2 linked regions of the Diceros bicornis minor genome follow. The protein of the gene in region 1 interacts with the protein of each later gene in a biochemical or structural test. Links are inferred from orthologs where the notes say so. Each region holds a gene or a part of one and is shown on either strand. Other genes may lie near its edges. The genes, in order: IRF4 and STAT6.

Region 1 (16,154 bases):
GGTTTGCAAAGGCCCCTGAACTGAAATCAACAGGGCTTCACGGACAGGCAGGAGCTCCCCATCGGCACCTGCATGGGATTTAAAAATGAACGGGAATTGCAGTTCTCTAATAAATGCACTCAAGGTTGGTAATTTATCTGTATTATGCATACCAGAAAAAGAAACCCACAAAACCCTCTTATTCCTCAGTGGCAGGTTCTGAGACTTAAACAACCCACATCACTGTCTCAATTCTCCACTTCAATTTCTGCCGCTGTGAACGCGCTGGCAGAGAGGAGCTCAGGCGCGCACCCCGACGAGAGTGGGTGTTGGCCATTTGAGGTGACTTGCAGGGCAGGTTTCATTTCATTTAATGTCATCAGAAATCACGAGGTCACAGTGATATAAATAGCTGTTTATTTCCTACTCTTCAGGCACCCACACAGTCTTAGGTGCTCAAGAAAAGGGTTTGAAAGTTTCTAAAAACAAACACAAGCCTTCCTGCTCAGAAATATCTCCTACCCTCCACCATTTGGGAGCACCTAGGAAGACAAATAGCCTCATTTGGAACTTCGGAACTGAAAACAACTAAGTGGTAAAACTCCAGCTCCCCTGGGATCGAGAAAGGTACCCATAACTCTCATCTCCCTGAAACCTTGAGGATTTAGTTCATATTTCTGTCACTGATTTTTAAAGAGGCCAGGGGCAAAGTAAACATTCTGAAGCTTAAGCTATTCATTTTTAAAATAAATACAAATCTCATTTTAAAACAATCCAAAAGATTATCTAAAAAATAAATATACACATGTACATATGCTTAGTAAACCTGAGGTGCCTTCTTTAAAGCAGGTGAGATCTCCGAGGTACAGGGATTCTTTTAGAAATGGAACTTTAAAAATCAGATCTAATCCATACCTATTTGCAAGCCATATCAAAGTTCAGAGGAAGACACAGTGCTTGCTCCTTTTAGGCATATGAATGTTGTGCAGAGAAAGGAGCCAGCACTAACGTCCCCAGGAAGCCCAGGAGGAAGACACATTTGCGGCTAACCCTGGAAGGATGATCAGCTTTTCAAAAGGAGAAGCCTCGTGCTTTTCTTCTCAGAAACTAAACTGCTCTGTGAAAAGGCTGGCTGAAAAGGGGCCCTTGGTAGATGAAACTGGAGCATTTGCATATTCTTGGAAATTCAGACAGATGCCAGTGGAGAACTTAAAATGACTCACTTCACCAGCGTTTAGAATTGGCATCAGAGTCATAAGCTGGCTTCTCAGTGCTCACTTTTCTAATGGTGTTCCTCATTCATACAGGTTGGGAGGCAGATATGCCCACACCCACTTCAGGCGCTAGCTGGAGGAAAGGGAGTGCCCACAGGCGTGCTCACCTATTGCCCCAGCAGATCCACCCAAAGGTGAGGGGAAGCCTGCCAGCGCGGCCTCCGTGGGTGCCTTTAGCGAGAACGCGCACTCACCTGACAGCGCCAGGGCCTCGGCAGACCTTATGCTTGGCTCTATGGGGATCCCGGGGGCCTGGGACTCAGGCGGGGCACAAGCATAAAAGGTTCCTGTCACCTGGCAACCTGCATTTGCAAATAAAAATCAGATGATGTCTAAACAGTTAGTCCGACCCATAAGGAGGCTGCCTCTCCCTGAGGTGTGGCCACTCGGGCCCTGGTGGCACCAACCCTGGGAGGGGAGGGCCACAGGCCTGCTGACCACCTACCGCCGGTACTCACAAGAGGCAAAGACACACTGAAGTCCAATTGGAAAAACCAAATGGAAGGAGGAAGGAGTCTTTCCACAGCTTTGGAAGGACACTCTGGAGCTGCCCCGCTGTAATTTTCTTTCATTTATTCATTCTTTTTTTTTTTTTTAAGGTTGGTTAACACTTCCATCACCTCACATAATTACTGTTGTGTGTGTGTATGTGTGTGTGTGGAGATCTACTTTTTTAGCAACTTTTAGTCCAGTAGGAGTACTGCTGACAACAGTCACCATGCTGTACATTAGATCCCCAGAATTGACCATCTTATAGTCGGAAGTTTGTACCCTTTGACCAGCATCCCCCACAGCTGGTAAACAGGGTGACTGAGGCTCAGACAGATGAAGCAGTTTACCCTTGCTCACACAGCAAGTGCACAGGAGAGCTGTGAGTTCAAGTCTAAGTGAGTTCTGGTGCCAAAGAGCCCAATTAAAATCTTACAAATTGTTTAGTACACGTTGATTTAGCTTGCTACTTCTGGGTTCAAGAGAAAACTGAACCAGTTCTCTTGGCAGCACAGCAGCTGTGTGGTGCACTAAACATTAAAAAAGAAATAATAACAGAATCTAATTTTGTTGGCACTTCATTTAATGTCACCTACCCCTCAAAATATGTCTACCTATTCCATCCTTTTGCACAGTTCTAAGCATTGTCTCTTTACTAAGGTTATTAGTTCAATAGAGCCTGATGCACTGGACACAGGTCTGAACACCAGTTTAGTGTTAGCTAATTCCTCCACTGTGATTTGGAAAACCAACTTCTGTTGCAAATCACTCTTGAAAGCTAATAAAACCGAATTCTGAGGTTTCTTTGTAAACATGCCACGCAATACAAATCTTAAGTAATGGTATACTTCTTCAATACCATAAGCCAAGAGTGGACTGAACATGACTAGAAAAAGGGGGATAGGCCACATTGTGAAGGAGTCAATATTCCTAGAACATACAAAAGGACCTGTGCTTTGACCTATCGCAGAATTTCTATTTAAATAACTAACTCAGAAGTCCTAAAAGCTTGTGTTTTGCTGTATTGACTACATCCTGTGAAATATTTTCTGCTCTTAGCTAACTAGCGCTTCTGCTGGGAGCTCTCACCTTGCGTCCGGGGCCTCCCGGGGCACGGGGCCACCTCTACTCCGGAGGGGGCAGCTCTTAGAGACCCACCCCCAGCACCAGGCACCCTGTGGAGACTTTCGATGTTTTTATCCTCATGTTTGTTCCCTCCCTTCTTACTATCACCTTTAATCCTAAGAACAACTACATAGGCACAGAGCCCAGTAATCTCCTGGTGTCCCTATAGAGGGAGGCTGTGGGCACAGCTGTAGCACACCCCCATTTTACAGATGTGTACACAGAAAGAGACCGGTGATTATATGGCCCTCAGTCAACACTGAAGCGACAATCCAGGAGGGCAGACTGCCAAAATTTACTACTTTTTGCCCAAGAGTAAAAATAAAGCTTAAGATTATTGAAGGAGGATGAAAAATGTTAACCTATTAAACAGATAATTTAAAAAATATAGCCAACCACTTTGACATCTGACTTCCCCTGTCTTAAGCGGAAGGCTGGGCTTTGGGGTCAGGAGATCTGACATTGAACCCCAGCTCCGCACTCTCACTGGGTAACTGTGGGCACATTACTTACATTCTATGAGCTTGCCTCTAAAAAACTGCGGCAGTTTTTAGCTGCCTGGAATGATCTCCGCAATGTCTGAATAAGATCCCACATAAGGCAGTTTCAAACACAGGTCCCAGCACACAATAAGCCAGCCATCGTCAGTAAACCTTGGCGTCCTTCCTCTGAGGACCTTACCATCCTGCATGAGAGAGAACACTCTCCCTCACTGCACAGGAGGTCTTTCCTAGCAGCTCTGAGAAGGAGAAAGAGCCGTGTACTGCCCAGAAGGACAGCTCAGGAGAGACCAGGGCCCTTTGCTTTGCTCTGCTGGGTCAGTGGCAGCCATGGGAGCCAGCCCCAGTGCACTCCTTACCATTTTCACAAGCTGGGCCTTGCCAGTGGTGGCTTCGGGGTCCAAACGTCACAGGACATTGATACGGGATTTCCGGGTGTGGCTGATCAGGGACGTACTCCCTCCAGCTTCGGTCGTGGGGGGGCATCATGTAGTTATGAACCTGCTAAAGGAACACGAGGGAGGAGCTGAGATGCAAAGCAACCAGCTCAGCAAAGAACAGCTGTTGGCACTGGGAAAGGGGCACAGATTCTTTTATATCCTCCCCAACTCCTCAGGGAATCTCTTATTTGGCTGGCAGCCAAATCATTTTATCACCAGGAAAGACTTTGGAGTGAATCCCTCATCACACTAGGTGGAGATGAGCCACAGGGAGTCAAGGCGCACAGTGAAGCAGTGTTGTAAGGCTGTGATCACACCGAGCTGCATCATGTGGTTGGAGCCAGCGCAAAGCACTGCAGGGCATGTGCCTTCTCCACTCACCAAAGGGAACAGACCAGAGCGCTGGCACCCTCAGGAGAGTGTGAGGGGTCAGCTGCCCTGTGGTTTCACATGATAAAACCACTACTTCCAAAATCTTCACCTTCCACAAAAGGTCTGTTTTCCAGCAGATTTCAGAACCAGTCATAGAAGTTGATACCGACAGGCAGGCCCCCGTGCCCCCCTCAGAACCAACACTGATTGCAACTCCAGGGGAAAGTGAGGCATCCATTCAATGACCAGGGCTTTGCTTTGGTTGTCGGACTAGTAGCAACAACAAAGCTCTGTGGCCTCTGCGCATTTCTCCTGCTGTGTGGGCCTAGCCAGCTCACGTGGCCTCACAGAGATCCAGCCTGCCTTCTGGAAGCCGTGTCTGAGCCCTCCGCCTACCTGAGCTGGGAGTGAGGGGTAAGGAGCCGTCATGGTGTAGGGGTGGCTCATAGTCATCTGGGGGTCCTCCAGTGTGAGCTGCTTTGCTCCTGTGTATTTGGGTGAAAGGGAAATGGCACAGTGTGAAAAAAGGACCTAACATAACCAAAGCTCAGATCTTAGAAAAACACCTGAGGGTTTAATTCTCACAAGGCATAACACAGTGTTGACGAGGCATTTTTCAGCAATTACCCTGGGCAATTATTTGTTCTGGCCGTTAAACTGATTTCTACAAGGTCTGACTTACATAGGACTGGTAGAGAAATCAATGCAATGCTGTGGTGGATACACCTTGCGACATAAAGGGCCCCACCAGCAAGATGTTCCCAAAGTGAGGTCACCTGGATGGTTTGTTTAAAATGCAGATTCCTGGGCTCCACTCTGACACACTGGTCAGAATCTTGGAAAGCGGGAATCTGAACTTTAATAAGCACCCCAGCTGATCACAGTACACTCTAAAAGTTGACATTTTATTACTATAAATAGCAACAATATATGGATGTATCGACGCTTCTCTTCTACAAAATGGTTAATCATGAAAGACTGATAGGTAAGTAAAGCTTCGAACAAGCTTTCCGTCTTTTGTTTGGAAATTTGGCCCACATCTTGATAGAACTGTGTGGAAACACACAGACGTGCACACGCAGGCGCACCCAGTTAGAGACTTGAAGCCCGACAAACCACCCCGCACTAATGCCACAAGAATGTCAGTTGCGGCCCAGAGAACTTGGGCTACGGCCTGCCGGGCTTGGCCCTGGGCCAGGAGGCAGGCAGCCTGTAAGACCAAAACAGGAAAAGTGGCCTTCGGAATGAAATCAAGGCCTTACAAGTGTCAGGCTGCCCATATTCTGGGACCCAAATCCAAGAAGGCCCACCTTTTTTGGCTCCCTCGGGAACAATCCTGTATACTTTATAGGGGTCTGAGATGTCCAACTGGCTCCTCTCAACCAGTTCCTCAAAGTCATTGCTCTTGTTCAAAGCACATCGTAAACGTGTCTTCCAGGTCGGGGGATCCGGCTTATCAATGCCTTCTCGGAACTTTCCTTTAAACAGCGCCCAAGCCTGGTGGGAAAGAAGAGGCAAAATAGTTAAAATACAGATCTTTTAAAAAAGAATCTAGGAATTGCATTTCTAAAGGAAAGAATGGTGCTTAGGTGCTTCAGATTTACACTGTTGCTCAAAATGTGAGACAAAGAGACCCCAGGTGTCCTCCAGGTAAAATACTTTCCACCCTGGACCCTATCATCGCTGAGCTGAAGGCAAGTGGTTTGAACATTCCCTCGGTATTTGTAAAAGACAGGTGAGATGTGGAGGACCGCTGGAAAGGCTACCCACCCAGTGTCTGAAGCAAGTTTGATTGGAACTAGGGACAGAGCTGTGGCTGAGCTGCTACTTGTAGAGCACATGTGGACAGTCAGACCATCTGAGGTCTCGTGAGGGCAAAGTCCCTGAGGAAGTCCCCGTCCCTGCTCTGCCCACAGGTGGTGGGGCTGGGCCCTGATGCACAGTTCAGTGGGTGCACTGCTCTAGGGAGAACCGTCATGAGAGGGACACACACACCGAGGGCAGGAGAGAAAGGTCCAGAGAGAGGACAGCGAGTAAGAAGAGAAAGAGAGAGAAATCCAAAGGGGGTGGGGAGGAGAGAGGGGAAGAGAGAGAGTGACAGAAAGAAAGAGAGAAACACACAGTAAGATGGAAAGACCCAGAAGGAAAGAGAGAGAGAGAGAGAAACTCAGAGAAAATTTTCCAGAAAGACTTGGAAAGAGGGAGTCAGACAGAGGGAGACAGAAAGAGGAGAAGCAGATGGAAGGACTCAGCTAGAAGGAGAGAGCACGTGCCAGAGATAGAGACAACCAAAGGAAAAATATCCAGAGAGAGAGAACAGGAGAGAAAAAACAGAAACAAATACAGACTAATGAGAGAGACAGAAAAACAGACACAGACTCGAGCACACTCCGGGTGCTCCCAGAAAGAGACAGACACACACACTGATCAAAGAGGCAAGGAGGGATCCAGAGGGACAGAAAAAGGCTCCGATGAGAACAGTAATGCACTATAACACCCAAGCCAGCGTCCTTGGACGCCGCTACCCGGGGTTAGCCTCCAGGCATTTCCCTGCCGCTGGAGCCGCCCGACTCCCTGGGTACTGCTCACATCACACACTCAGGATTGGGACCCGGTCCCCCCATTTGTGAAATCACTAGAGTAGTTGACACCTCTCTCCTTCTCCCGTGGCTTGGGCCGATCGCCACCTGATGCTCGCGGGCCCCTCGCCCTAAGGGGCACACACCGTCCCGCGCACCCCGTGTGGTCCCCTTCCCTCTGAGAACCGCCGGGCGCGCCGGCGCGGGCCGGCCTCGCCGCGGGGTGGGGGTTAGGGACCGTCCGGGCTCTCCGGGGCCCTCTCCCATCCCGACCGTGGGCTCCCCGCGGGCTTGTAACCTTGAAGAGGGCGGCGTCCTCCTCACGGTTGTAGTCCTGTTTGCCCGCGTGCTTCCAGGGGATGCGGAAGATGCTCTTCTCCTCGTTCTCCCACACCAGCCCTGGGTACTTGCCGCTGTCGATCTGGTCGATCAGCCACTGGCGGAGTTTCCCGTTGCCGCAGCTCACGGAGCTCATGCCGAACTCTCCGCCTCGGCCGCCGCCGCCCTCCAGGTTCATGCCCAGCGCGCCGACTGTCGCCCTCACGCGCTCAGGATCCGCCTCCGGCACTCGCTCTGAGCTGCAGGGGAGAGGAGGGCCGCCTTTCAGCCACTGCGGCACAGCGCTCGGGGCACCCTGTCCCAACCCCCTCTGGTAATGACCACGAGGTGCCGGAGTCTCCGAGGCAGCGAGGCGCGCGCGCTAAGAAGTCGGTGTTGCCAAAGGCCCTTAGGAGAAAGCACCTTCTCACTTGGCCCGGGCTCGTGCCCTTGGCGCGCACAGTCCTGACGCCTCCCGAGCGCGCCCTCCGTGGAGTCCATCCTTCTACCCCACCTTCTGAACTTTCCATTCTTGTTACGCACCCCACAGCCCAAGTGCTGCCCGGACACACAACTCTCGCCTTTGCGCACGCTCCCAAATCCAGCCGCCACCACTCTTGGCACTCCGTTTGCACGCTCACTCGTAGTTCCCGCTCCTCTTAGCCCAGTCCCAAGCCGACGCCAGTCCATTTCCCCCTTCACTGTCAGTTTCCACTCTCGCCCACTCCCCAATTCACACTCCCCTGATGGCCCCCGTGCGCCAAGGATCTCGCACGCGGGTTCGCCTGCGGTCGGGGCGTTCCAGGTGCGCGGCACTCAGCAACTCCTCCTCCGGCCTTCTAGAACCTCCCGCACCCGCACTCTTTGTTCCAAGAATATCCCTGAGCCCTCGCCAGATAGCAAGGATTAAGTGGGCCTTGGAAGCAACAAGCGATAGACACCTGGTCTTTGGTGAGGAGCGCTGCCAAGTAGCGGGAGATTCCGGGACGCCGAGCGTCAGCCGGACCCAGAGGCCCGCGAGGAAGAGCGGAGGCAGGGAGGGTGCCGGGGAGAGCGAGGGACCGCAGGGCGCAGCGCCCCGAGGAGCCCATATTTGGAGCTCCTTCTCCTCCTCCACCACTACTCGGGGGGCAACGCGCCGGAGGCCGCGGTGAGTTTGGGCCCCTTAAGAACGAGGAGCAAGAGAAGGAGCCTCGGATTGGAGCCTCGGGAGTAAGGGACTGTCCCCCGCGGGAAAGCCCGCCACCCCGTGTGGGTCCCTTCGACTGCCCCGCTTCGGCCACTCCTGGGGCTCTGACAGTCTCGTTATCCCGTCCCGCGCGTGGCCTCCCCCGGCCCGGGCTGGGCCGACTGCAGAGTGGTGGGGCCGCGGGAGCAGGGAGAGACGGCGGGAGTGCTCGGGCAGCGACCTGGGCGACCCTCCACCGAGCCCGCACAAAGGCCCCGGACCCAGAGCAGATAGGGGGAGTCGGGGATCCCTCAAGGGGCGTGCTCCCTCCCGGCTCCGAAGCTGGGGTCCCCTGCGCTGCCCTGGAGATGGACCCCGGGACCTCTGGTCTCGCGCCCCCGGTTCTCTGTCGTGCCACCCTCACATCTATGCTGCTGCCCGACCCCAGACCTTACCTCGCCCCGACTCGGAGCTGAGGGCAGCGGTGGGTCCTAAGTTCAAGCGGTGAAACTAAGATTCAGAGGTGGGAAAGAGGAACTTTATAGAGCTTAAAAGCCGCGCTGGGGGCGGAGCCTGCGGCGGGCGGGGCCGGTTGCGCCCGCGGGGCTGGGGGGCGGTGCGCCGCGAGAGGAGAACGAGGGCTCGGCGGGCGACTCCCAGGGCCCGGGCCAGAGGAACGGGGTCCGGGGGGGTTGCCGCCGCAGGCTGGGGGCTCCGGCGCCCTCGGCGACCCGCCTCGCGCCGCGCAGAGCGAACGCACCTCGAGTGGGGCTCGCGCGGCCTCGGGGACCCTCACTCTGGGCGGTTTCCTGCGAAGGACAAGGCGCGAAATGGGGACCTCGCCTCCGCGCCAGGACCTGCGGGAGGCCCGTCGACAACTAGTAACAGCTAAAGACAGCGACACGGTTAGGGCGGGAAGTGGGGGGCGTGTAGGAGCGGGAATCCGGTGCGAAGGGGACTTCGCTTGTGGAGCACGTAACCAAAGACGGAGGAATTGTCCACATCGAGGAACTGTGGGTGGGTGGGTCACACCCAGCGAGGGGTGACCCTCGCTGTCACCGAGAACCCTGCTCCTCCACGGTCTTTAGAGAACATCGTGCTCATTAAAAAGAAAAAAGGAAATGGCCCAGATCCCTTGAGCCATAAACTGTGGTTCAAATACTGTCCACATGTTCGAAATGCTTACACGCTCTTGCATCTATTAAACTGGTGAATTGAGGTGACTCAGATAGACAATGCATGACCCCCAAAGTTTCAATTATGGCAACATGAAAGAGTTGGGGGAGGGATCCCGAAGTATCCCAGCGCTTAATTGCTTCTGCACTTCAGTTCACTTTAACTGACATGGTTTTAACCTCAACCTGGTAGGAAGCAATCTGGGGTATAAATGTCCGCAACAGGAGTAACATCCAAACGGACCTGCAATTTTACTTAATTTTCTAGGATGCCCTTATTATCCAAACTAGCTCCCTGACCACTGCGCTTTCGCCGGAGCGTCTTGGATGCTCCGAGCATGTTTACGTACTTAGCGATTGCAGGTAAACCGTCAGATCAGCGGTTTCTATATGATTTTAGACCATCGCCACCGCAGGTCAACTTGCAACTTTTGAAAAGCTTTTGATTTCACTTATTTCTCAGTTTTTCTTTTAATCTTATATATTGGGTCAATGTCTCCTACCCAAAGAAAAAAATAGGGTTAGGCTGGAGCAAAACAGGCCGTGAGTGAGGCACAGACTAGAAATGCTTTTCCTACAACTAACGGACTTTCTCAGAAATTCACAGGATGCCATATTTTTATTCACCCAAGTAAGTTTTCCATTATCAGAGTCTGTGTAATAAACAACAGGGTTTTGTTCAAAGAAAATTCTGGTTACACCCTGTTTTTCTTCTCCTTTCACAGATTCATTCATTCCACAAACATTTTTTGCGCACCTGCTGCTTGTCTGGAATGGTTGTAGGCACTGGGATACTCAGTGAAGGAAGCAGAGATCATGCCTCCATGTTGCATTACATTTTAATCAGTGAATTACTTTTCCCCAAGGTGTTCACAAACAACAGACAGAAGGAGATTGCTAAAAACAAAAATGGCAAATGAGAGCTTTTAGCACTTTCGCACACGTGTTCTCTGCACCAGCTTTAGTTAGTTTCAACATTTTCCTCAGTCATCTCCTTTTAGAAGTTCAAAACAACACCGGCTGTATGAAACTTTCTGAGACTTTACAACATCTACCTTGTTTTAAAATGTGATTGCTAATCTTCAACGCCATCTTCTGGTTTATTCATTGTCATATTGATCTACTGGAAGTGATTTTTTTTTTTTATGATGAGGTGAATACAAAGAATAATATATTTTAATCACTAAAACTCTTGATGTCCTCATCACTCCTGGGGAAGGGGAGGGAGTGAGCAGGTAGGGGCTGCCAGTTGCTCACCAAAGACATCTTAGTCACAGTCGAAAGAAAAAGGACAAAAGTTTTTAAAGTTGACCTTCCCCCCACACACTTGAGAAATCAAAGTGTTCCTCAGTAAAAGATAGATAGTTATCTTCAAATGTCACAACTTGTTAAAAAGTGCAAACAAATAGGAAATCAGTAAATTGAATATCTACCTAAGACAAAGGCTGATCATGATATTCTGCAAGGAGGTTATTTCAGTGAATGGTCCAGATGTGGAAATGCCATTGTAGGTGGAGCCCAATCTGAACAGAGTGCTGCAATTTCCAATTCACATTTATTGTAAAGAGACTATAAGAAAAGCTGAATTTACCTAAATTCAATATTTTAAAAATCAGTCTTTTAAAATTTTACATTCACATGTAAGAAAATATTTTAGAAAAACCCATACTAGGCACAAAAAATAAATTACTGAAACCCTGTTTTGGATAAAAGTATTTTCTCACTAATTCATTCTTTGAAAGGGGAGAGTACTACAATTTGTTAAAAACAATGCAACTATATCCGTGAAAAAGGTTAAAGGGCAATCATTTTTAACTACCTGTAAAAAATCAGGAAAATACTAAAAATGTTATGATGTAGTTCATATGGGATAACTATCTCCTCTAATGCTCTTTGGCTATATGTGTGTGCAATGCTAATTATTATCATTGACCATGGTATCTTGTATGGCAGTACTATTATACTATTATTGTATTATTATATTATTTTATAAATAGTAATATATCTACGTAATAGAGTAATATACAATATACTATACTAGAGTAATATAGTAATATACTATAGTATGTACTATACTATACAATGTACTATAGTACTATATAATATTAGTACTATATATATTATATTATATATATTATATATATAATAAGTACTATAGTACATTGTATGGTATAGTACTAGTACAGTGATATATACTACATATTAGTAGTATCTTATAGTATTGTATTTAGTAGTATTATTGGATGGTATTATTGGTAATTAAATGCTCAAATACGACAGTCAGCTAGACCTGGTTGAAATCCGTGAGGTCTTGGGTGAACTATTTAACCAAAGTCTTACCTTCCCAGGTACAATGAAGGCAATGGCTTTCTTGCCTCCTCGTATGCTGTGATAACGAAATGATGCTTAGCACAATGCCTCACATGTTCCAAGTGTTCAACACATCGGGACTATTATCATTTATGTTTTGCTTCAACATTTAGGAAGACTATATCTCATTTGATCTCCCAACCCCATCTGCCTGGAGGCAGGGCAGGTGATATTCAGCCCCATTGTACAGATAAGGAAAGAGATTCAGAGATTCACTGAGGTCCGGATGGCTTGCCAAGGACACCTTCTGACGAACTGTTCTTTTTCCTTTCTACGGGTATTTGGCTGCCTGCTGCACTGATATTTCAGGATCAGCCTGCGAGTGCAGGCCTGTGGGTCTGGAGGTGGCGTCCTGACTCCAGTCTGGCACTCAGTGGGTAAGTCAGTGTGGGTAAGGTGCAGTCTTCTGACCTCGTTCTCCTGTCTGTGAAGTGGAGGTTGGCAGTAGGCAACCACTGAACCTTCTTCCAACCCTAAATCATTGTTTTCTTCTTTCTGCTCTAACTTAAACTATTATTGGCAGCCAGTGGCCTTGTTGGTTATGGTAAATTCAGAGTAAGAAAAGCGGCATTTTTTTAAAGCCACTGACCTAACCACTGATCTTCTCTTTGCTCTTCTTCTCAAAGCAATATTCACTTTGAGGAAATTGGAGGAAACAGTGCTGATTCTCAGCCAGTTTAATCCTCTGAAAAAATCTAACCTTCTATGCTACTAATACAGGGGAGGTTTTGGGATGGAATACTCTGGAAATGAGTATCGTTTATTATGAGTAAATGCTCTCACTGCACACCCAGTTTGAAGAAGTTGAGTTGAAGTTTCTTTGTAAAGTGATAGATTTTTGACAATACCAATATGGCACATAAAGCTGAATTTTTTCATGCAGAGCTGTATGTACTTTCCTAATTTAATTCACCAAGTGCTCTGAGTTTCTTCCATGAAAGAACTTTGCAGATCTGTAGCGTTAAGCATTCCGAGAACACAGGCTGTTCAGGACTAGTTAAACTCTTTTAGGCCACAGAGCTAATACACATGGCTTTTCCCCAGGCACAGAGTAGAATCCACTTTCAGGCTATGGGAAACTAGACTTGTCATTTTAATCAATTGTGTAATAAAAAGTCACGAAGTCAAAGACACTAAGGCAATGTTGTCTCTTTTCCCTTTGTTTATAAACAACTGTTCTGTTTATCTCCTCTTCTTGCCAGTATTCTAAGAAGTCTCCGAGGAACATTCTCTTTCTGGCTTATTATGTTCTCTACATACGTAGTGACGTGGCTTTTAACAAGGGACCACTTGATACTGCCAACTCCCTTCACCAAGCCAACAAAAATGCAAATGGTTTGCAATAACTTTGGGCAATTTTCTGAAAATTGAAGCAGTAGGTGAAAAGCAAATGGCTTTATCTGAATCCACCCATTTGTGCAGTTCAGAATGTTGGGGTGTTCTAATGTTCATCAGCTGTCATTTCAGCTGGACATTGTGAGACGACACACCATCACTTGTCACAGATGAAGTATTACTTCTGAGACCCGAGGATACCTTGGGTGGTGGAGTGCATTTTCAGGGAAGGGTAGACGATGCTCCAGAACAAGCCCCCGTGTCTCAGGGGCTGACAGCCACACAGGGCTGCTTCTTGTTTACATGAGCTATTTATTGCTTGTCATCACACTCTGAGAATCCAGGCCGACCAAGCAGCATCTATCTAGAACATTCCTGGTCACAGCGTGTAGAGAAAGGATACAGGGAGAACTCTGGGCTGGTTCTTTAAGCTTCGCATCACCATGACTCATATCCCCCTTTTGTGAGGTGAGAACTGCACTGAAGGAAGAGCAGCCTGGCAGTAGCGTGGGGAAGGTGGGGGGAAGAAAGGCCTGGAGCCCAGAGAAGACTCAGGCAAGAGGCAAGGAGCTGGGACGGGGCGGACAGAGAGGCGATCAGAGGAGGCAAGGAAGGGTCACAAGGGCTGGGTGGATGTGGGGTGAGGAGGCAGGAGGTGAAGATTACTGGGGAGTTTCCAGGCTGGGAGACTGGGCGATGGTGTGACCAAGAACTTAAATAGAGAAGTCTGGAGGAGGAACAGGTTTATGGGGACTAGATAGGGGGTGTTTGAGATGACATCCCAACATCCAGTGGGATGGGTCTTGATCTAGGTGGGTGCTGTGGCTCCTTTGGGCACGGTCCCTCTGCTCCTTTAGCGTTTGGAAACAGAATTGTCTCTTGATCATCTTTGAACCATGGCATCTAAAAGTGCTGAGCGGCTCCTAGCAATGAGCTCTAAAAATGAATATGTCTTTCCTCTAAGGGCATGCTTTTGGTGACAAAAATACAATGTGACCCCAGGCCTCCCCGAGCCTGTAACTGGGGGCCGCAGCAGACCCTGACATGAAGGTTAGTGGTGGGACATTTATTAGGGGGCGCTGTTGGCCGAATAACCATGGAGTCACAGGGAGGAAGCAGGATTGGAGGAAGAGAGCTGAGATGCAGCACCCTACCAGAAAGCCCCGGTCCACACTGCAGAGCTCTGGAGGAGGAGGAGCCTGCTCTGTCGGAGTTGGCGTGAAGCGAGAGGCCTTTAGTCTGTGGGCTAATGAGTCACAGTGCAGGCTGCCCCTGGAAGGAGGCATGAAGTGGGCAAGGTGGTTTTCTTTACCTGGAACAACCTCCTGAGAGGGCTGCCTGCTGAGAACCATCTTCCAGGAACAGCCCGAGAGCAGGGGAAGTGAATCTCTGCTCTCGAGTGGGGATCTGAGCAGCACCTGGCGGCATCTCCCTGAGGCTGCTTCTGGCTCTGCTTTGATCCACTTCATTTTATATGTCCTGGGAGCAGCTCCTCCAGGCTTCTAGTGGTTTCTCTTCCTGGAGTAGGGTTGTCAGGTTTAGCAAATAAAAATATAGAACTCCCAGTTAAATTTGAATTTCAGATAAACAATGAGTAATTTTTTTTAGTGTATGTTCCATGTGATACTTCAGATATACTAAGGAAACTATTCATTGTTTACCTGAAACTCAAATTTAACTAGACATCCTGTATTGTATCTCGCAACCTTGTCCTGGAGGAAACTTAGAAGAGGAAGGTTAGTGGGACAAATTACAGCCTGCCACTGTAGCTGGTTTTGGGGTCCCAGCTGAAATTTATCTATTGTGCTTCCTCCTCTATCCTTTCCAGATCGCTTCACTTTTACCAAGCAGCTCTGTTGGGCGAGTGGCTGGCTTGATGGAGAGCCCTAAACCTTCATTTCTAAGGGCTTTAACCCCTGGTCACCATGTTGTTAGTGGTCCAGGGGTGCTGCACCCCCACTTACTATTCGCCATCAAAACTGCACAATGGGGGGCCGGCCCTGTGGCCTAGTGGTTAAGTTCGGTGTGCTCCACTTTGGTGGCCTGGGTTCAGTTCCCGGACGCAGACCTACACCACTCATCAGCAGCCATGCTGTGGCAGGGACCCACATACAAAATAGAGGAAGATTGGCAACAGATGTTAACTTAGGGTGAATCTTTCCCAGAAAAAAAAATGCACAAGGGAGCATAAGAGGAGCCCAAATGGGTCACTTGAGTACAGCCCTATTGTATGACAGCAGCCCCCATCTCTGACAAGCAGGGTCAAGATGGTGACTTCTCACCTGCTGGCCCTGGCCCCAGGAGCCTCTCAGGTGGCTGCCCTAGCTTAGAGCTCAGTGGTACTCCTCTGTCTCCTGGAGGAGAGTGTCGCCTTTAGAACCAGGCCCTCTAACCTCACAGAGCCCAGCTTTGGAGATGAGAAGCACACATTCCCCAAATGGCCACTGGGAGTGACAATAGTGGGGCTGCTCCTAGTTCCACCCCTCGGCTTCCTGCCTTGAGTGTCCCACTGAGGACAGGGACGAGATGGAGGGTTCTCATTCAGGGTGGGTACTACATCCTTCCATCCTTCTCCCACACCCACCCTGGCTGTAGCAGATCCACCTTACTTAGGCCATTGCTTTCTCATACTTCTAGGCACCATCCTACCTGTGTGTTTCCAGCATCTCCTGTGGCCTTACTGGGTGTCCCATCCTGTCTCTCTTATCTGAACCTCCTCCCACTTTGCCCAACACTCTCAGAACCCAGTCCCACGAGTGCCCTCCTGAGTCCTGCCATACCTGTAGTTGGTGCTGTGGTTCCTTTGGGGCACCATCCCTTTCTCCCTTAGCATGCCCTGCACATCCCCAGCCAGGCTATCCAGTCCTTGACCCTGGTTATTGGCCTGGTGGCCAGCCGGGAGTGATGGGGAGAGTCTGAGGGAGGGCACATGTTGTCTTGCAGAAGATAAGCCTCTCCATCGTTTCCAAATGAAGGGAGTGCTGGCCCTGGATAGGAGGGAGAGCAACTTCTGCCAGCTCAGAGAGCTCA
Region 2 (15,928 bases), on another chromosome or scaffold:
GTTTGTTGGGGCCGAGCGTGAAGCTAGTGGAGAAGAGCACCGCACACTTCTCCTCGGTGACAGATTCAGTGCCCTTCCGCTCACACCGCTTGATTTTCTTCAGAAGCTGTGAGGTGGGGTGAGGGAGAGGAGGGGTGAGGGCAGAGACCGCTTCTCCTGGGCTCCCAACTCCCTCACCAAGGAAAGTCCCATAGTCTGAGGACCCCTGCCCCCCTCCCTGCCCGCTGCTCCCTGAAGCCTCACCAGGTTCTTGAAAAGGGCAGAGCAGCAGTTCCCAGGAATGCTGTTCTCCAGGGGCACGGTGTTGTTGATGATTTCCCCACTGCTTTCTCTGCCAGGGGAGTCAGAGAGGCTCAGCCCATGCAGGCCAGGTGTCTGGAAGAGCTGGAGTCCACGGGTGAATGGCGTGGACTACGGGCCCCAAATCTCCATCTCCTCGCTTAAGTTCTTAAGGGAGAAGTCCCCATCTTGGCCAAATTGTGATGCTCCCACCCCATTCCAGCGCGGAATGGGCTGCCTTGACCATTCAGGTCTCACATCCCATGGCCCTCCCTCCCCATCACCTGCTCTTTGTGGGGCCCGGCTCCTCTGGCCTCCACCACCCCAACAGGCCTTCTCCAGCCCCAGCTTACGCGCCAGCCCCAGGCCCCTGGGGCATGCTCAGCTCCCTCGCCTGCTTCTCGGTCACCATGTCAGCCCTGACCAGCGGAGGCTTGGCCGGGGCCCCCAGGAACCGTAGGCCTAGCAGGAATCGAACCCCAGCCTGGAACTTGGTCTGAGTCTTCAGAACCTGCGGGGGCTGCTTCTCCACCAGGAAAGAGCTGGGAGGAGTGAGGAGGACACAAGGGGAGTTGGCAGCTGAGTCCCTCCTGGTGCCCTCCCCACAACTCTGCCCTCTTCCTTCCTTGGGGTCTGCCCTAGGCCAGGCTGAGGGCTCCCCGGCGTACCTGGTGACGAGGGTTCGCAGGACTTCATCTAGCCGGCTAATCAGCGCTGCCCGGGTCTTGGGCTCAAGCTCCCCACTAGCTGCCCCCACCTCCTGCTGCAGCTGGGAATAAATGTCCACCAGGCTCTCACACCTGGGGCCAGGACAGTGGTCAGGGGGCACAGGATTCAGGCTGCCTGCGGCGGCCCAGACCCCCTTCCCCTAAACCCAGGAAGAGAGCAGGAGAGTGTGTGTGGAGGGGTGGCAGGGGCAGTGGGTGTGGCTGCACCGTGCCTGAGCTGAAGGGGTTCTGGGACTTGCCTTGGCTCTGGGTGGGAGGTTCCTTCTCAATGCCTGCACCCCCTGTGGAAACCCAGAGGCCTCTTCCTCAGGGCTCTGATACCCAGGTCTGCTGCCAGCCCGTATGGTGCTTTTTGCGCAAATTGAAAGGGGCCCCGCCCAGGAGACCAAATGGAAAAAGGCCTCCCACTCCTCTGGGCATGGGGCTTGAAGAGAAAAGCATGGGTTGGATGAACGCCTGCTGGTGCCCCCTCAGCCAGGCGCACTTATACAGGTGGCAACCTGAGCCACAGTTGGCACAGCTCTGCGGGAACGGGCTCCTCTGAGTCTTGGCCCCCTCCAAGGCCTTCTTGCCTGGCTTTTTCTCTCATGTCTGGGGGGCCTCCAGCAGGGATAGCAAGTGCCCACCTCCAGCCCACTCTCCGTCCCCGTCAGCCCTGCCCCAACCTCTCCTGTAGTGGGGCCAGGCTCTCCTCAAAGGGGGCACCATTCCCTGCCAGCTGCTGCTGCCGCTTCCACATCTGAATCCTCTTCAGCACCAGGGCCTTGGCAGCCTCCAGCTCCCCGACAGTCTCCTGCAGCACCGTGGCCAGAGCCTGTGGGCAGGGAGGGCCTGAGCTAGGGCCACACACTGCCTCCTTCCCCGGCTCCTGAGGGGAGCACTCTCTTTCTCATGTCTCCGCATTCCCTGACCCCACATCAGTCTGTGTCTCTCTGAGGCTCAGTCTCCATCCCTTACAGATCGGAAATCCCTTGAAGCTCGCACTTTGAGCTCATCTCCACCTCTCAGGTCATTACTCACCTCACTTGGCCCAGTCCCATTGGCAGGAGTTTCTATCAAGCTGTGCAGAGACACTAGGGGCAGAAATCAGGGATGCAGATAAATGTGAGGTTCAGTCAATGTTGAGGTCCAAGAGGCGATCCCTCCCACACACTCCCCAGAATCCTCTTAGGGCTCTGGGCCCAGGCCCACACCTTGGCCAGCCTCAGCCTCCTGCTGCACGGCTTCTCGGAGTAGGCGGGCTTCCCCCAGTCGGTGCTGCAGCCTCTGCAGGACTGTGTTAAACTTGAGTTCCTCCTGCTTCCAGTGGAAGGGTGCTGGCAGATGGCCGAACTGCACAGGATAGACAGATGCCAAGAGGTGAGACACTCTGCCCATCCCTCTACACCCGGCCTCCACTCCCTAAAGTGGTGCCTACAGCCATGCTCTGCAGAAAAGGAGATAGACCACTTCCCTTGTCTGGCTCTCCTCTCCCCTTTGATAGTTCTTCCTGAGCTTTTGGAATCTCCTGGGGATAAGACCTCTCTTCTGGCAGAATCAACTCTTTATCTCTTGTTCTCTCCTCCCCAGACCTCGCTACCCTCGGTCCCTCATTTGAAGTTTTCCTGAGCTTAGCTTGGGGTTTACTCTGACCCCAGGAACCTCCTTTAGTCATCCTGGGCCTAGAACATTGAGCCTTTCTTCAAGTTCAAATTCCGTTTAGAGGGAATTCTCATGGCTCAAGCTAAAGTACCAGAATTGGGTTGGGGTGGGAGGTGGGTATCACACAGTACCTGTTCCCTAACAGCATTTTTCTCTCCTTGCAGTATTTGTTTGAAAGAGGCCACCAGCTTCAGGGGGTCCCTCTGATATATGCTCTATAGAAATGAAGGGTGGTGGACAGGGTTAGCCAGGCTCTTAGCCATGTCATTCTCCCACTTCAATCCCCTCCATTCACATACACACTGAAAGGCAGCGTAACTGTAGACTCCAGAAGCTCTCATGTATTTGCATGCTTTTAAAATCTAATTTGCATGCTAGCTAACAGCTAACCACAGGAACACCAATTTGCTTCCAGCAGCCAACCAATTTCTTCCAGCATCCAATGCTCACCACAGCTCCACTCTGGCCCCACCCCAGCCTTGTCCCTTCCCTCCTGCCCCCACCTCCAGGGTGCTGATGTGTTGCAAGATGGCGCTTCCCTCCCCCTGCTCTCCGGCTGAGGTCTGAAGGCGCTGGACAGTGGTGGAAAGTAGGGCGCTGGCCATGTTGCAGCAGAAGGCATCTGAGCCAACCAGGAACTCCCTGCAGGAAGATCAGGATGAGGCAGCCTCGAGTCAGGGCTTCCTCAGCTCCACTGACCCTTCACCCCACAGCAAACAGCTCAGCAGCCCTCCACCCCCATTCTCCATCCTCTGCAGCCCTCATCCGTGCTCCTTGTGCCCTAATTTTCCACTGTTAGGGGAAGTGCCCTTGCCCCAGCCCTGACTTTGTGCTCTTTGGCTCTGCCTCCTAAGGGGGTGAGGGACTCCATGTGTCAATAGGCATAGTCTGGTTGATGCAGCACAGACTCCCGCTAAATCTAGGCCACCATCCGTGAGTCCCAAGTCCCGAAATGGGGCGGAGAAAATCTGATGCGGGGGAAGGTGGGTGGGGGAGGACCTGGGGGATGAGCATGGGGCAGCTGGGACTCACCAGGGCTGGTTCTCCAGCCAGTCACCCAGAAGATGCCGCAGGTGTTGGGGAAAGTCGACATAGAGCCGCTGCAGCTTTTCTGGGGGCATCTTGAGGACCAGACCCCACAGAGACATGATCTGGGGTTAGGAGGGTGCCTGGAGGAAAGGAACAAGGCCACTCTGAGAGGTGCCAAAGAAAGCTGGCCCATGTTGTGGGGCAGCCAGGGACCTCCCAGAGACCACCCTCACCACCACTCACAGCCAGACCACCTCAAACCAGGGACATCCTTGGTCAACGCCTGAGACAAGGTAATCCCTTCAAGGGTAGACACAGGGGTGATGGGGTGGGAAGAGCTGAGCCGCAGCCAGCGGGGTGGGAGACGATGGAGACGGGGCAGTAGGGAAAGCTCTCTGAGAGAATGCAGAGGATGTGGGCTGCAGCTCTAGGGCTGGCTCTGGTTCTGTGGGCAAGGAGCCTCCCCTCTGTGGACCCGATCTTCTCATCTATAAAATATGAGGCTTGGATAAGTGCAGAACTTTCCAAACTTTTTAAAGCAGTAGCCAATTTTAGTTTTAATGTGTGGAACCCCAATTATTTAAGATTGGACTTTCTCTGTTGAAAGCAAGTGTGGTAGGCCAGGAACGCTACTGCTCCCCTCTCCCCACCTCTTGACCTCAAAGGTGTCCCTGAGAAACCCCTCAAAATTCCAGGGCTCCATGAGATAATTTGAAGACTACACGGCTAGACGATGAAGAAGAGGATAGTAGAGTAATAATAGCTGCCATTTATTAAGCACTTACTATGTATGAGGCATTACACTAAGGGTGTTATCCCCAAACCTCACAATAATTTTTAAAATAGGTAGTTATCCTCTTTCATAGATGAAGACACCGAGTCTCAAGGAGATTTTCTAACGTGCCAAGGCCACTCAGCAAGTGAGTTCCGAAATCAGGATATGGATCTGAGTGAGAATTAACCACCACACTGTGCCATTAGGATGCTTTCCAGATGCAAATCCTGTCATCCTAAGAGGAGGGGGTGTGGCAGCAGAACTGAAGAAGGGGAGGTGGAGCAAAGGGGAATGTAGAAAGAGCTTAGGAAGAAGGTGAGAGATATTGGAGGAAAAGTGGGGTTAATAAGCCTGGAGTGAAGAGCCTAGAAGCGGGGAGAGGAAGCTAGAGAGCTAGAAGGCCAAGGGCAGAGGAGAAGAAAGGGAGGGAGGAAAGGAGGAGACGGGAGAAGGAGGGGAGAGGGTTTTACTGGGTGGGCTGCCAGGTGAGGTGGGTAAACCAGTGGTTTCCCAGGGGTCTCTCAGTTCATGTTTCTCATAATGTCCCTTCCCAAAGATGAGGGGGAGGATGGGGATGGAAACTCCCTGGGTCTCCCCCAACCCAGAAACCCCAAGTCCTCCTGTTGCACTTTTAGCCTCTCCCCTTCCCCAGGACTCCCAAAGGGATGGAGAACAGAGGGGCCCCTTCTCAGGGACTCCAGCTCCAAGACCCTCTTGCCCCTCCCCCCCAGTCCCTATCCCCTCCAGCACTTTTCTCCCAGTGGCAGAATCCTCCCCTTCCTGCTCAGGGTCCTCCAACAGGCCTTTCTCCACTCCTCGGGGTGGGGCACCTTTTGCTCTGTGTTGCAGATTCACCGGAGGACTCCGTTGTCTTTTCTGTCTTCCTCTCCCGCTTCTCCTGGCGCTCAGACCTTTGACCCTCTGGCCCTATCCTACTGGGGACTGAGGTGATCCCTAAACCGCAGGCAGCCCCCCTTTCCTCTCTATCCCCTTGTTGAGTGACCAGCCTCCCGGCATGGCCCTGGCTTCAACTCCCCTTCCCTACTCCGTCCCCAATATCCAGATGTCAGGAGGCCACACTTTTCCCCACCCTCACCCAATGACAAGGCTGAGGGGGTTGGCCTGCCAGGACAGGGGCACCTTCTGCTTTAAGCCCCTCTCCAAGACCCGCAGAGAGGGAGGAGCCGCGGTGGGAGGGGCGGGGCCCGCCTTCCCGTCCCAATCGCGCAGGGAAGCCCCACGTCCGGGATCCTCTTCGGCCGGCTTCGTGGCCTAAACCCGATCACCTCAACCCCAACGTTCCCGAGTCCTCTGGCCATGGGACCAAAGGATCAAAAGTCAAAAGCTTCTCTGAGTTGCCCAATGTGTGTCGGTGACGGTGGGAGCGGGGAGGGGGCGGGGGAGGCGGAGCCAGTTCAGCACGAGGAGGGTTAACTCGGCGCCGCCGGGAAATCTCGGCGTCTACAGCAGCCAAGCGTGGAGCAGTTTTGAGGGGGAAATTCCCCCTCCTCTGGGGCACCATGAGGTCTACATCTGGGGCTCGCTCACCCCCCAGCCACACCCTTGAACAGGAACCTTTGTGGGGGGACAGGCTAGGGGTTTGTCTATGACCCACTGCCTTCTGGCATCAACCTTCTAGGGAGGGGCAGCCACTTCCCCCCACCCAGAGGGCAGAGGGGCACCTCCTTGCCCTCCTTTCCCTGTCTTCACATGTCCCCGGAGGTGCGCGGGCGGGGGTGTGGAAAAAGTGACCCATGGGGGGTGGGAGTGCGGGGCCTGTACCCACCCCAGATTCCTCTGAGAGTTCGAAACTGCCAAGACCCAGTACCACCAGCTCCTGAAACAATTTCTTGGGGACCATACACCTCGCCCAGGGAGGATCCTGAGAGGCCCCCCGCCAACCCATCCCCGCACACCCTCATAGTCAGAGGGTCCCCACCCTGCCCTCCTCGGAGGCATCCCCTCACCTTGGCAACCCCTCTGCTGTCTTCTCCCTCTCTCAGCGGGCACTGCCAGGCCCCATGAGTCTGTAGCTCTGTCCAGCGAGTTCGGGGCTGGCCCTGCCAGCACCCCCCCTCCACCACCACCACCGAAAAGAAACACACACACACACACACACACACACACACACACACACACACACACACACACAGAGTCCTCTCCCGTCCTTCCTCTTCAGTGTAAGCAGTGGCTGCCCCAGCCCGCTGTTTCCGGCTTCTCCGTCTACCCAGGTCCCTCCCTGGAGCTCTGACGACACAGAGAAGAGAAAGTGGGCTGGAGGAGGAAGAGGAAGAAAGTAGGGCGAGCATGTGTGCCTTCTGTGCCTGGTGAGGGTGTACAGGGTGGGGGGAGCCAGGACTGGGGCTTGGGGCCCTGGGGCCAAGCTGGAGTGGGAGGCTGATCCCCACTTACTCTGTCCCCCTCAAAAGTGATCAACTTTTCTCCAGAAAGCCACCTAATATCAAGCAGAGACATGCCGCCCCAAACTGCCTGTCCTGTACTCAAACTTTCGAAGTGGCCCAGGGTTTGGGCTCACGAGGGACTGGACTCCCCGGGGCCTCTGGCAAAGCAAATCCCTCTGGGCTCTGCGCTCCCTCCAGTGGAAGACCCTGAAAAGCAGCCGGGGAGCTCATCGCCGCAGGAACTCCTAGGTCCTCCTCCCTTCTTGGTGGTGAACGCCTTAGAGGTCCCGTGACCACTGATGGGAGGGAGTGGGGGAGGGGACCCCGAAGCTCAGAATTCTGGAAGACTCCAGAAGGAGTCCTGCAGACTGAAAACCATCTCTGCCCCTCCACACAGGGTACTACTCCTTAGACCCTGGTGGGAGTTGACACGAGCCGGAGTTGCTGCCTGCAGATTACCAAGGGACAAATTTGAATATGAATCTGCTGTGCACCCTTGGCGAAGTTCCTGTCTGTTTCTGTGGTAACCACTGAGACACACCCAGAAACACACACACACATGCACAACTTCTCCAGTCACAAGCTACACACACACACACACACACACACATGCTTACACACACATGCGAGCAGGCTCACAGACATGTCAGCACTCAGAGACACACACTCACATACACAGAGCTTGCCCAGCTTCTGAGTCATCATCGTTACTAGTGGGTGGTTTCTGCAGCTTTTGCTGGAGGAGCTGGAGGCCAAGGGACCCAGAGAGGCCTTCACATCCCCAAATCTGGGAGACGTGGTGCATGGAAAGGGTGGTTTCTGGGGGGCGGTGGGAGGTGGAAGGACGTTTCTACTCCCCTCTGTTCTCCCCAAATAGGGCTAGGCTCAGGGGCCAAAGCTAGGCCTATGCTGCCCCCTGGTGCCTGAATTGAATCCCAGAACCCAGCTCCTCCCACTCCCATCCCGTAGGGATGGGCCTGTGTGTGCCGGAGGGCATGTGTGTGGGCCTGGCCGGCAGCAGAGGGTAGCAGTTAAGAATCTGGACTCTGGAGACAGGCTGCTTGGGTTTGAATCCTGCCAGCGCCGCTAACTGTACAACTCTGGGCAATCTACAATTTGTGATTCAGTTTTGTCGTCTGAAAAATGGAACAAATAATAGTCTTAACTCATAAGGTTGTAGGAGTGACATGTGATAATACGTGTGAAGGCTGAGGACAGTGCCTTCACATAGGAAACAGCAGGCACTATTTTTATAGCCCAGAATAAACCAAGCACGAGGATGGCAGAAGGGCCTCCATCCTACACAGGGGTCCTGGATTTGGGGGTAATATTAGCGCCACAAAGACAGAGCCTATTGGAGGAATGTGTGTTTCTGTGTTTATTGTGTCTGGAAGGCAGTGGATGGAAGAGGAGGGAGAGTAGGGGTGGAGATGGCGGGCGGGGAATCTGATCTCAGCAGTGCCAGGGTCGCAGTGTGTGCACGTAGGCGCTCACAGCACACACACTTTGTATGTGCTCCCATGTGCCCACGCTGCCTGCAGACGTCCACAGACAGTGCCTGAATTCAGGCTTTGCCATCTAAGGGGCTCAGGAGGTCCAAGTTCCCTAGAACTTTGCCAAGAGGAGGGGAGGAGGGAACGCAGTCTCTAACTGACTCCTTTTGGGGATGGGAAGGTGAGGAGCCAGTACTGGTGGGAAAATAATATTTATTGTCATTCTCTCTAACTGATTGCACCAATGGGGACACTGTGATAGCATGGAAAGAACCCAGAATTTAGAGGCAAATCTGGCTTGGGTCTGACTCCACTTAAGAGCTCTGTGATTGTGTGTCAGCTCCTCAAACAGAGACAACAGTTACATCCACTTCACACGGCCTAAGCTGGGGTGAGGTGTCTAGGGTGCGGAATTTAAGGAGGCACTCATCTCAGGTCATGCAATTGCAGGGTTGGCTAGACTTTCAGTAATGCCACCCCCTTACACACCCTGAGAGTGAGCGCCTTGCCTGCCTCCCCTCCTCTGGGCCCTGCCATCCCCCCAAGTGGCTGAAAGATTGCATGAGAGAAAGACTAGGAAAAAAGAACTTTGTGATCTGTGAACTGCAGGTTGCAACCCAATAATGAGTCACAAATCAATTTGATGGGTGTGTTAGTTTGCTAGGGCTGCCGTAACAAAGTACCACAAGCTGGGTGGCTTAAACAACAGAAATTTATTAGTCACAGTAAAGGCTAGAAGTCCAGGTGTTAGCAGGGTTGGTCCCTTCTGAGGGCTGTGAGAGAATCTGTTCCAGGCCTCTCTCCTTGGCTTGTAGATGGCTGTCTAATGTTCCCATGGTGTTCTCCCTGTATGCCAGTCTGTCTCCAAATTTCCTCTTTTTATAAGGACATCAGTCATATTGGATTAGGGCCCACCCTAATGACTTCATTTTAACTTGATTACCTCTATAAAGACCCTATCTCCAAATAAGGTCACATTCTGAGGGACTGGGGACACCTCATATGAATATGAATTTTCAAGGGACATATGAATTCAACATACAAATATATGAATTTTTGAGAGACACAGTTCAACCCATAACAGTGAGCCTTGACCATCCCTTTTTTTAAACAAAGTAGAGTAGAATAGAACAGCAAATATCAGAACGTATCACCTAAAGTTAGGATAAGTAGTGTCTAAGGAAACTTGTGTCAGTTTTATGTATGTATTTGAGTTCTAGGTCTTGATGTAAAAGACACTTTTAGTGCAGGTTGTGATCAAAAAAACAAAGCACCATTTGGATGTTGGTGACCATCACATATCACTTTGTGTTGCTTTTTAACGATTTTATGGGTGTATCCTTCTTCTCTGACAAGAACATAAGCTTGCAGAGGGTGGGGATTCCTATCCCCCTGTACACACTGCTGTGCAGCTAATAAAGACAATGTCTGCTCTTGCTAGTGACAAGGACCACTGTTTACTGAGTGCTTACTATGTATATGGCACTGGGCTAAATGTTTTACATACACTCTCTGATGGAAAGACTGACCTTAGTGATGGATTGATGGCAGGAGCTCAGTACATTTCACAGATAAGATGAGTGGGTGCCTTGTTCAGAGCACTGGACAGTGGCCTGGGATTTGTGGAGGATTGAGGGATAGAAGGAAAAGGTCACAGAAGAAGTGTGGACCCCTACCCAGCCCTGTCTGCCAGGCCTTTTCTATTCTCCCCAAATTCGCATCCGCTTTGATGCCAACTCACCACTTAGATTAGAGGAAACAGAGGCCATCAGTTGGAAACTCCCCCAGTTTCCTGCTCCCTACTGACAGACACATTCATTGGCACCCGCACTCTCCCTGCAGGCTCAGAGGAGAGGGTGTCTCTGCCTCTGCCTCTGCCCCCAATACGTCCCTCCACTTGTGCTCAGGGCCCCTCCCTCTTGCCTCCTCAGGCTCTGTTCCATTAAATGTCCCTTCGATTCTCCAAGTCTCCAGCCTCTCCTTCCTTAGTTAGTACAGCTCTTTCCTCTCAGCCTGTACACATGTTCAAATCCCTCCCACCTTTAAAAAAGTAAAATCAAACTGACAGCAAGCAAGCAAAACCAATCCTCCCAGAATCTATGTCCACTTAATTCAACAAAAACTTGTTGGGTGTCTGTTCTCTGGCTCTTACAGCTGAGAGGGGGAGGCAGATTAGTTAACAAACAACGATACTGCCGGATAATTGGGGCTGTGATTCCAGTGAAGGACAAGGTGCCATGGGAGCACATAGAATGGGCCATCTAAACTAGGTAGGGGGTAGGGGAGATCAGGGAGGGGTTCCTGGAGGAGGTGATGCCTTAACCGAATCCTGAAGGAAAAATAGGAGTTATTCAGGCAAAGAACAAGAGGAGAGTTAAACGAGGAAGAAGATCTAGCATGGACAAAAGCATGGATACTTCAGGAGCATGGTACCTTCTGGATATGGATAGTACTTGGCGATGGGGAGCATTAGAGGATCCAGGCAGGTGAGTAATGTGATGAGGTTTAGTAGAGAGACCACCCTTGCTGCAGTGTGGAGGACGGATTTAAAGTGTAAGTCTGAAGCTAGGAGAACAGTTCAGAAAGTTGATCATAACAGAGGAGGAGACTGCTTGTCGGAGAAGTAGAAGTGAAGCATTGTGGGCGGAATCCAAGGCTGGTTAGGAAGAGAAGTAAAGACAGGAGGAGCCAGTGGGTAAGGATAGAACAGAGCGAAGGAACTGGAAGTCTCAACAGACTTAAAGACTGACCTTCCTGGGAGCAAGGGAAAGAAAGAGCTGGAGGGTTGGAATGTTGTGGTCAGAGACAGGGGGTGAGACTTCAGTCTGGCCCTCCTGGGAGGGTGTGGGACAGGTTGTGGCTATGGCGACATGGCGTAAGTCACTGGAGTTGAGGAGGGCAAGGAAACAGGAGGCCAGGGTGCTGCTGGACTACCGGCATGAACACTGAGGCCATCTGGGTTTGCAGAAGACCTGCGGTGAACAGGAAGACAGTGACTCGGATGCCAGAGTCTTCAAGGAGTGTGGGCAAGTGACCAAGACATCAGTGGATGAATGATAACTAACATTTAGTGAGGGTTTATGCGTTACTTCAATTCCTACTTTAAAAAATCTAAGCACTGTACATTTTATCCTACAATGATACTATGAGAAAGAACTATGTGCCCAACATGGTAGTGACTAACCATATGTGGCTGTTTAATTTTAATTAAAAAATTCAGTTCCTCAGATGCACTAGCCACATTTCAAATGCTCAATAGCCACACATGGCTAATGGCTACTATGTTAGCACAGACGTGGGACCTTTCCATCATCACAGAAAGTTCTGTTGAGAGCACTGATAGCCCTCATTTTACAGATGAGGAAACTGTGATGTGGAAAGGTTAAGTAACCGGCCCAAGGCCAAAGAGCTGGCAAGTGACAGAGCTGGGATTTGAACTCAGTTAGTCTGACGCAGGCACTGAGGCTGTAAGCAGTAAGCTACACATCTTCTCAATGGACGGTGAAGTATCGGGCCCTGAAAACGAAGAGGAATTAATATGACTCTCGGGGCAAGCACTGCTGGTGCCTACTCAGCAGCAAGCCTTTCTCCCTTGCTGGCAAAGTCTGGATTTTGTACAGGGATTCCCCTCCCGTACGTTCAGGGGATGAATCTAATTGGTCTAGCCAATCATGGTCTGTCTGTTCCCCTGGCCAGTGACTCAGTCCTGGCCAACAGGACTTTAGGGGGCCATTGGGTACAATTTTGTTCTTCTTCAATGACGAGTCCACATGTGAGGACTAGAACAGCTGCAACCAGTTGCAACTGTGAGAGGAGATACCATCGACCACTGAGGATAGAGTAGCAGTGTGAAGAGGTAGAAAATTCTTGCTAAAGCACGAGCCCTGGATCTGCTGTAGAACTCCTCATTGTTCAGTCTAATTTAGTTGGGTCTTCTGTTACTTGTGGCTAGATGCATCCCTAACTGAGACCTTGGTGGAGCCATACTGACTACAGGAAATGGAGAGCCTGGAGTGGGCTGACTGCCCACGCTCCCACCACCACCCGTCTTGTGCACTTGGGAGAATAAGTGATATCTCTTTAAAGGAAGTGTCCTCAGGAAAGAGCCAGGTTTCGGGCAAGCAAAGAGGGGCAAGGACAATCTGAGCCAAGGGTGGTCCAAGGCTTCCTGCAAGGAGGAGGTAGGGAGAAGCGCAAGAGTGGTCAGGAAGAGGAAGCACTGGGCTGAGTGGAGAAGGGTGGACGCCCACTGAGGTCTGCCAAGGATGACAGGATGTGAGCAATGGCAAAGTCAGCTGATCTCCAGCTTCCAAATGAAGCCCTGGGGCTGTCAGAGGCTCTGTGGCCAACAGACCTTCACCTCACAGAAGGACAAGTAGTAGCCCTGGTGGGTGGGTAAAGTCAAGCATCTCTGGATGGAGCCAGCTGTGGTCAGGATTGAGCCTCTGCAAGGAAATTCCAGCCCTCTAACTGGCACTATAATTACTGTCTTGCCTCTCTCTCTTGTCCCCTGTGCAGCCAAACTTCTTGGGAAAGTTATTCACATTTACTGTCTTCCCTTCCTCACCTCCTCAGTACACCGCCAGCTAGCTGCTGCCCCCATCAGTCCCATGAAACTGTTCTGGCCATGTCACACGTACCCTCCTAGGTGCCCAGAATGATGGTCCACCCCTGTCCTTCTCTCCCTGGACCTCTCTGCAGGATTCAGCACTGTTAATGGCTCTTGAGTAAGCCCTCCCTCCGTTGATGTTCATGGTCCCTTTCTCCTGCTCTTCCTCCTACCTCTCTGGGTGCTCCTCAGTCTCCTGTCTTCATGGGCTACTCTTCCTGTGTGATCTCATGGCACCCAAGGCTGCAGCATTCTAGAGGCAAAGCAATGTAATGTGGTGGTTAAAACTGTGGCCTCTGGGGCCAGGCCACCGGGGTTCAAATCCCTGCCTCACCACTTGGTGGCGGTATGACATCCAAACCCCTATCAAGATGTAGATCATTGTCCTCACTCCATCCCCGAGGGGGAGCCACTGCTCTGATTTTTTTTCACCATAGATTAGTTTTGTCTGTTCTAGAATTCATATAAATGGAGTAAAACAGGATGTGCTTTTATGTCTGGCTTCTTTTACTCACCATGTCTGAGATTCATCTGTGTGGTTGAGTGTATCCATAGTTTATCCATTTTTATTACTAACTATTAGCCCATTGTAGAGATATAACAGTTTGTTCATCCTTTTTTTGATGATAAACACCTGGGCTGTAGCCAGTTTTTGGCTATTATGAAGAAAACTGCTATGAACATTTTTGCTGACATCTTTGTGTGAGCGTGTTTTCTCTTCTCTTTAATAAATAACTGGGAGTATAATTGCTGGGTCATAGGTTAGGTACATGCTTAGCTTTATAAGAAACTGCTACATACTATTCCAAATTGATAGAACATTTTACATTCCCACCAACACTGTGTGAGAGTTCCAGTTGCTCTATATTCTCACTAACATTTGGTATTGTCAGATTTTTAAAGTTTTCATTTTGGTGAGTGGGGAGAATTATCTCATTGTGGTTTTAACTTGCATTTTCTTGATGACTAAAGATATTGAGCACTTTTCATGTGTTTATTGGCCATTAATATAGGTTCTTTTGTGAAGTCTCAATTCAAATCATGGGGCCAGCCCCATGGTGTAGTAGTTAAGTCTGGCGCGCTCCGCTTCAGTGGCCCAGGTTCATGGGTTTGGATCTCGGGCATGGACCTACACCACCCGTCAAGCCATGTTGTGACGGCGACCTACATACAAAATAGAGGAAGATTGGCACAGATGTTACCTCAGGGCTAATCTTCTCAAGCAAAAAAAGAGGAGGATTGGCAACAGATGTTAGCTCAGAGTGAATCTTCCTCACCAAAAAAAAAAAAAAAGTCTTGTGTACACTTTTTAAAAAATTGGGATGTCTTTTTATTACTGTGTTATAGGAAATTTTTTATATACCCTGGATAACAGTCCTTTGTCAGATCAATGTTTTGCTTACCTGTTTGGTTTACTTATTCATTTTCTTAATGATGTCTTTTGAGGAGCGAAGCTTTTTAATTTTGATGTTTCTTTTATCAGTGCTTTTCTTTTATGGTTATTGCTTTCCATGACAAGAAATTTTTGCCTACCTCCAAGTCATGAAGATATGCTTTGTTTTCATCTAAAAGCTTTATGATTTCCCCTTTTATGGTTTAGATCTATGATCCATCTTGAATTAATTTTTGCATATGGTGTGAGGTAGGGGTCAGGGTACACTTATTTCTCTTATATGGATATTCAGTTGTTCCAGCACCCTTTGTTGAAAAGACATTCCTTTCCCCCATGGATTACTTTGACACCTTTGTCAAAATCAAATGACCTTTATTTTTTTTTTAACAGTTTTGCTTTTATTTTATTATTTTTTGCATGTGTGTGTGAGGCAGATCAGCCCTGAGCTAACATCTGTCACCAATCCTCCTCTTTTTGCTGAGGAAGACTGGCCCTGGGCTAACATCCGTGCCGCATCTTACTCCACTTTATATGGGACGCCGCCACAGCATGGCTTGACAAGCGGTGTGTTGGTGCGCACCTGGGATCTGAACCCCAGGCCGCTGCAGTGGAGTGCGCTCACTTAACTGTTATGCCACCAGGCTGGCCCCTCAAATGACCTTTAAATGTGAGTCTATTTCTGGCACTCTCTTCTGTTGTCTTTATACCAGTACCACACCATCTTGCTTATTGTAGCGTACAAGTCCTGAAGTCAAGTAGTATAAGTCCTCCAGCATTGGTGTGTTTTTTTGTTTGTTTTTAGCATTGGGATTTTAAAAGCTCCCCAGGTGATTCTAATGTGCAGCCAAAATTTGAGAATATTCTAATTTGAGCCAAAGGTTCTAGACCCAGCTTTCTCTGTCACTGTCCTCTAGGCCGACATGATAAACCAATTAGTGTACTTGAGCCTACCTTCTTAGTCTGGAATCCTCTTCTTCTCCAGCTCTATGGCTGATGCCTTAAAGACTTCATCAATTTCTCACCTGGCTCCCCACTACTTCTAGAAAAAAGTTCTGAGTCCTTAGTGTGGCTCAAATCACCCCTTGTGATTAGGCTCTCTGATACTTATCCATTACCCTCCCCAATAAGTACCTTAAACTTCAGCCACACCATATTTGCCATTCCTCGGATGTTTTAAACTCCTCATGCCTCTATGCCTTTGTCATATGTAAATGCCTATGTCATTGCTTGTCATCTCCTTCCTTTCTTTCAACATGTAGCCTGGCATCATCTGCCCTGCTCTGTGTTGATCCCCTTATCTGGAATAGGTACCTTGCCCTGGTTCCCAGACCCTCTGCGCTTGCCTTTACCATAGGCATTAAGGTTCTGTGCTGTAATTGTCAATCATCTTGTTACAACCCCACCAAACTGTTTGCTTCTTAAAGGTTGAGACTGTGTGTTTCCATCTCTTGTCCCTAGTGCCTAGCAACGTGCCTGGCACATATGAGATACCTGATAAATGTTTATCAAGTGAATGAAACCTGGGCTCCAATCTGCACTGTGATTTGGGGCAGATTTCTTAAACTTCCTAAGCCTCTAC

The links.
Region 2: the proteins of IRF4 (region 1) and STAT6 form a complex in vitro, tested with the Homo sapiens proteins (2 studies listed by BioGRID). The link is inferred for Diceros bicornis minor from reciprocal best matches to the Homo sapiens genes IRF4 and STAT6.

The regions. Positions count from the first base shown.
Region 1 is NC_080753.1:65,923,123-65,939,276, forward strand, and holds the start of IRF4 (interferon regulatory factor 4), read right to left. Parts: upstream 8,741-16,154; 5' UTR 8,700-8,740; intron 7,337-8,699; 5' UTR 7,276-7,336; coding exon 7,057-7,275; intron 5,677-7,056; coding exon 5,490-5,676; intron 4,665-5,489; coding exon 4,576-4,664; intron 3,872-4,575; coding exon 3,727-3,871; intron 1,556-3,726; coding exon 1,448-1,555; intron 1-1,447. UniProt on the Homo sapiens protein: Transcriptional activator. Binds to the interferon-stimulated response element (ISRE) of the MHC class I promoter. Binds the immunoglobulin lambda light chain enhancer, together with PU.1.
Region 2 is NC_080756.1:11,778,854-11,794,781, reverse strand, and holds the start of STAT6 (signal transducer and activator of transcription 6), read right to left. Parts: upstream 6,565-15,928; 5' UTR 6,420-6,564; intron 3,818-6,419; 5' UTR 3,797-3,817; coding exon 3,681-3,796; intron 3,291-3,680; coding exon 3,152-3,290; intron 2,864-3,151; coding exon 2,780-2,863; intron 2,340-2,779; coding exon 2,201-2,339; intron 2,081-2,200; coding exon 2,028-2,080; intron 1,822-2,027; coding exon 1,673-1,821; intron 1,080-1,672; coding exon 948-1,079; intron 822-947; coding exon 633-821; intron 332-632; coding exon 244-331; intron 107-243; coding exon 1-106. UniProt on the Homo sapiens protein: Carries out a dual function: signal transduction and activation of transcription. Involved in IL4/interleukin-4- and IL3/interleukin-3-mediated signaling.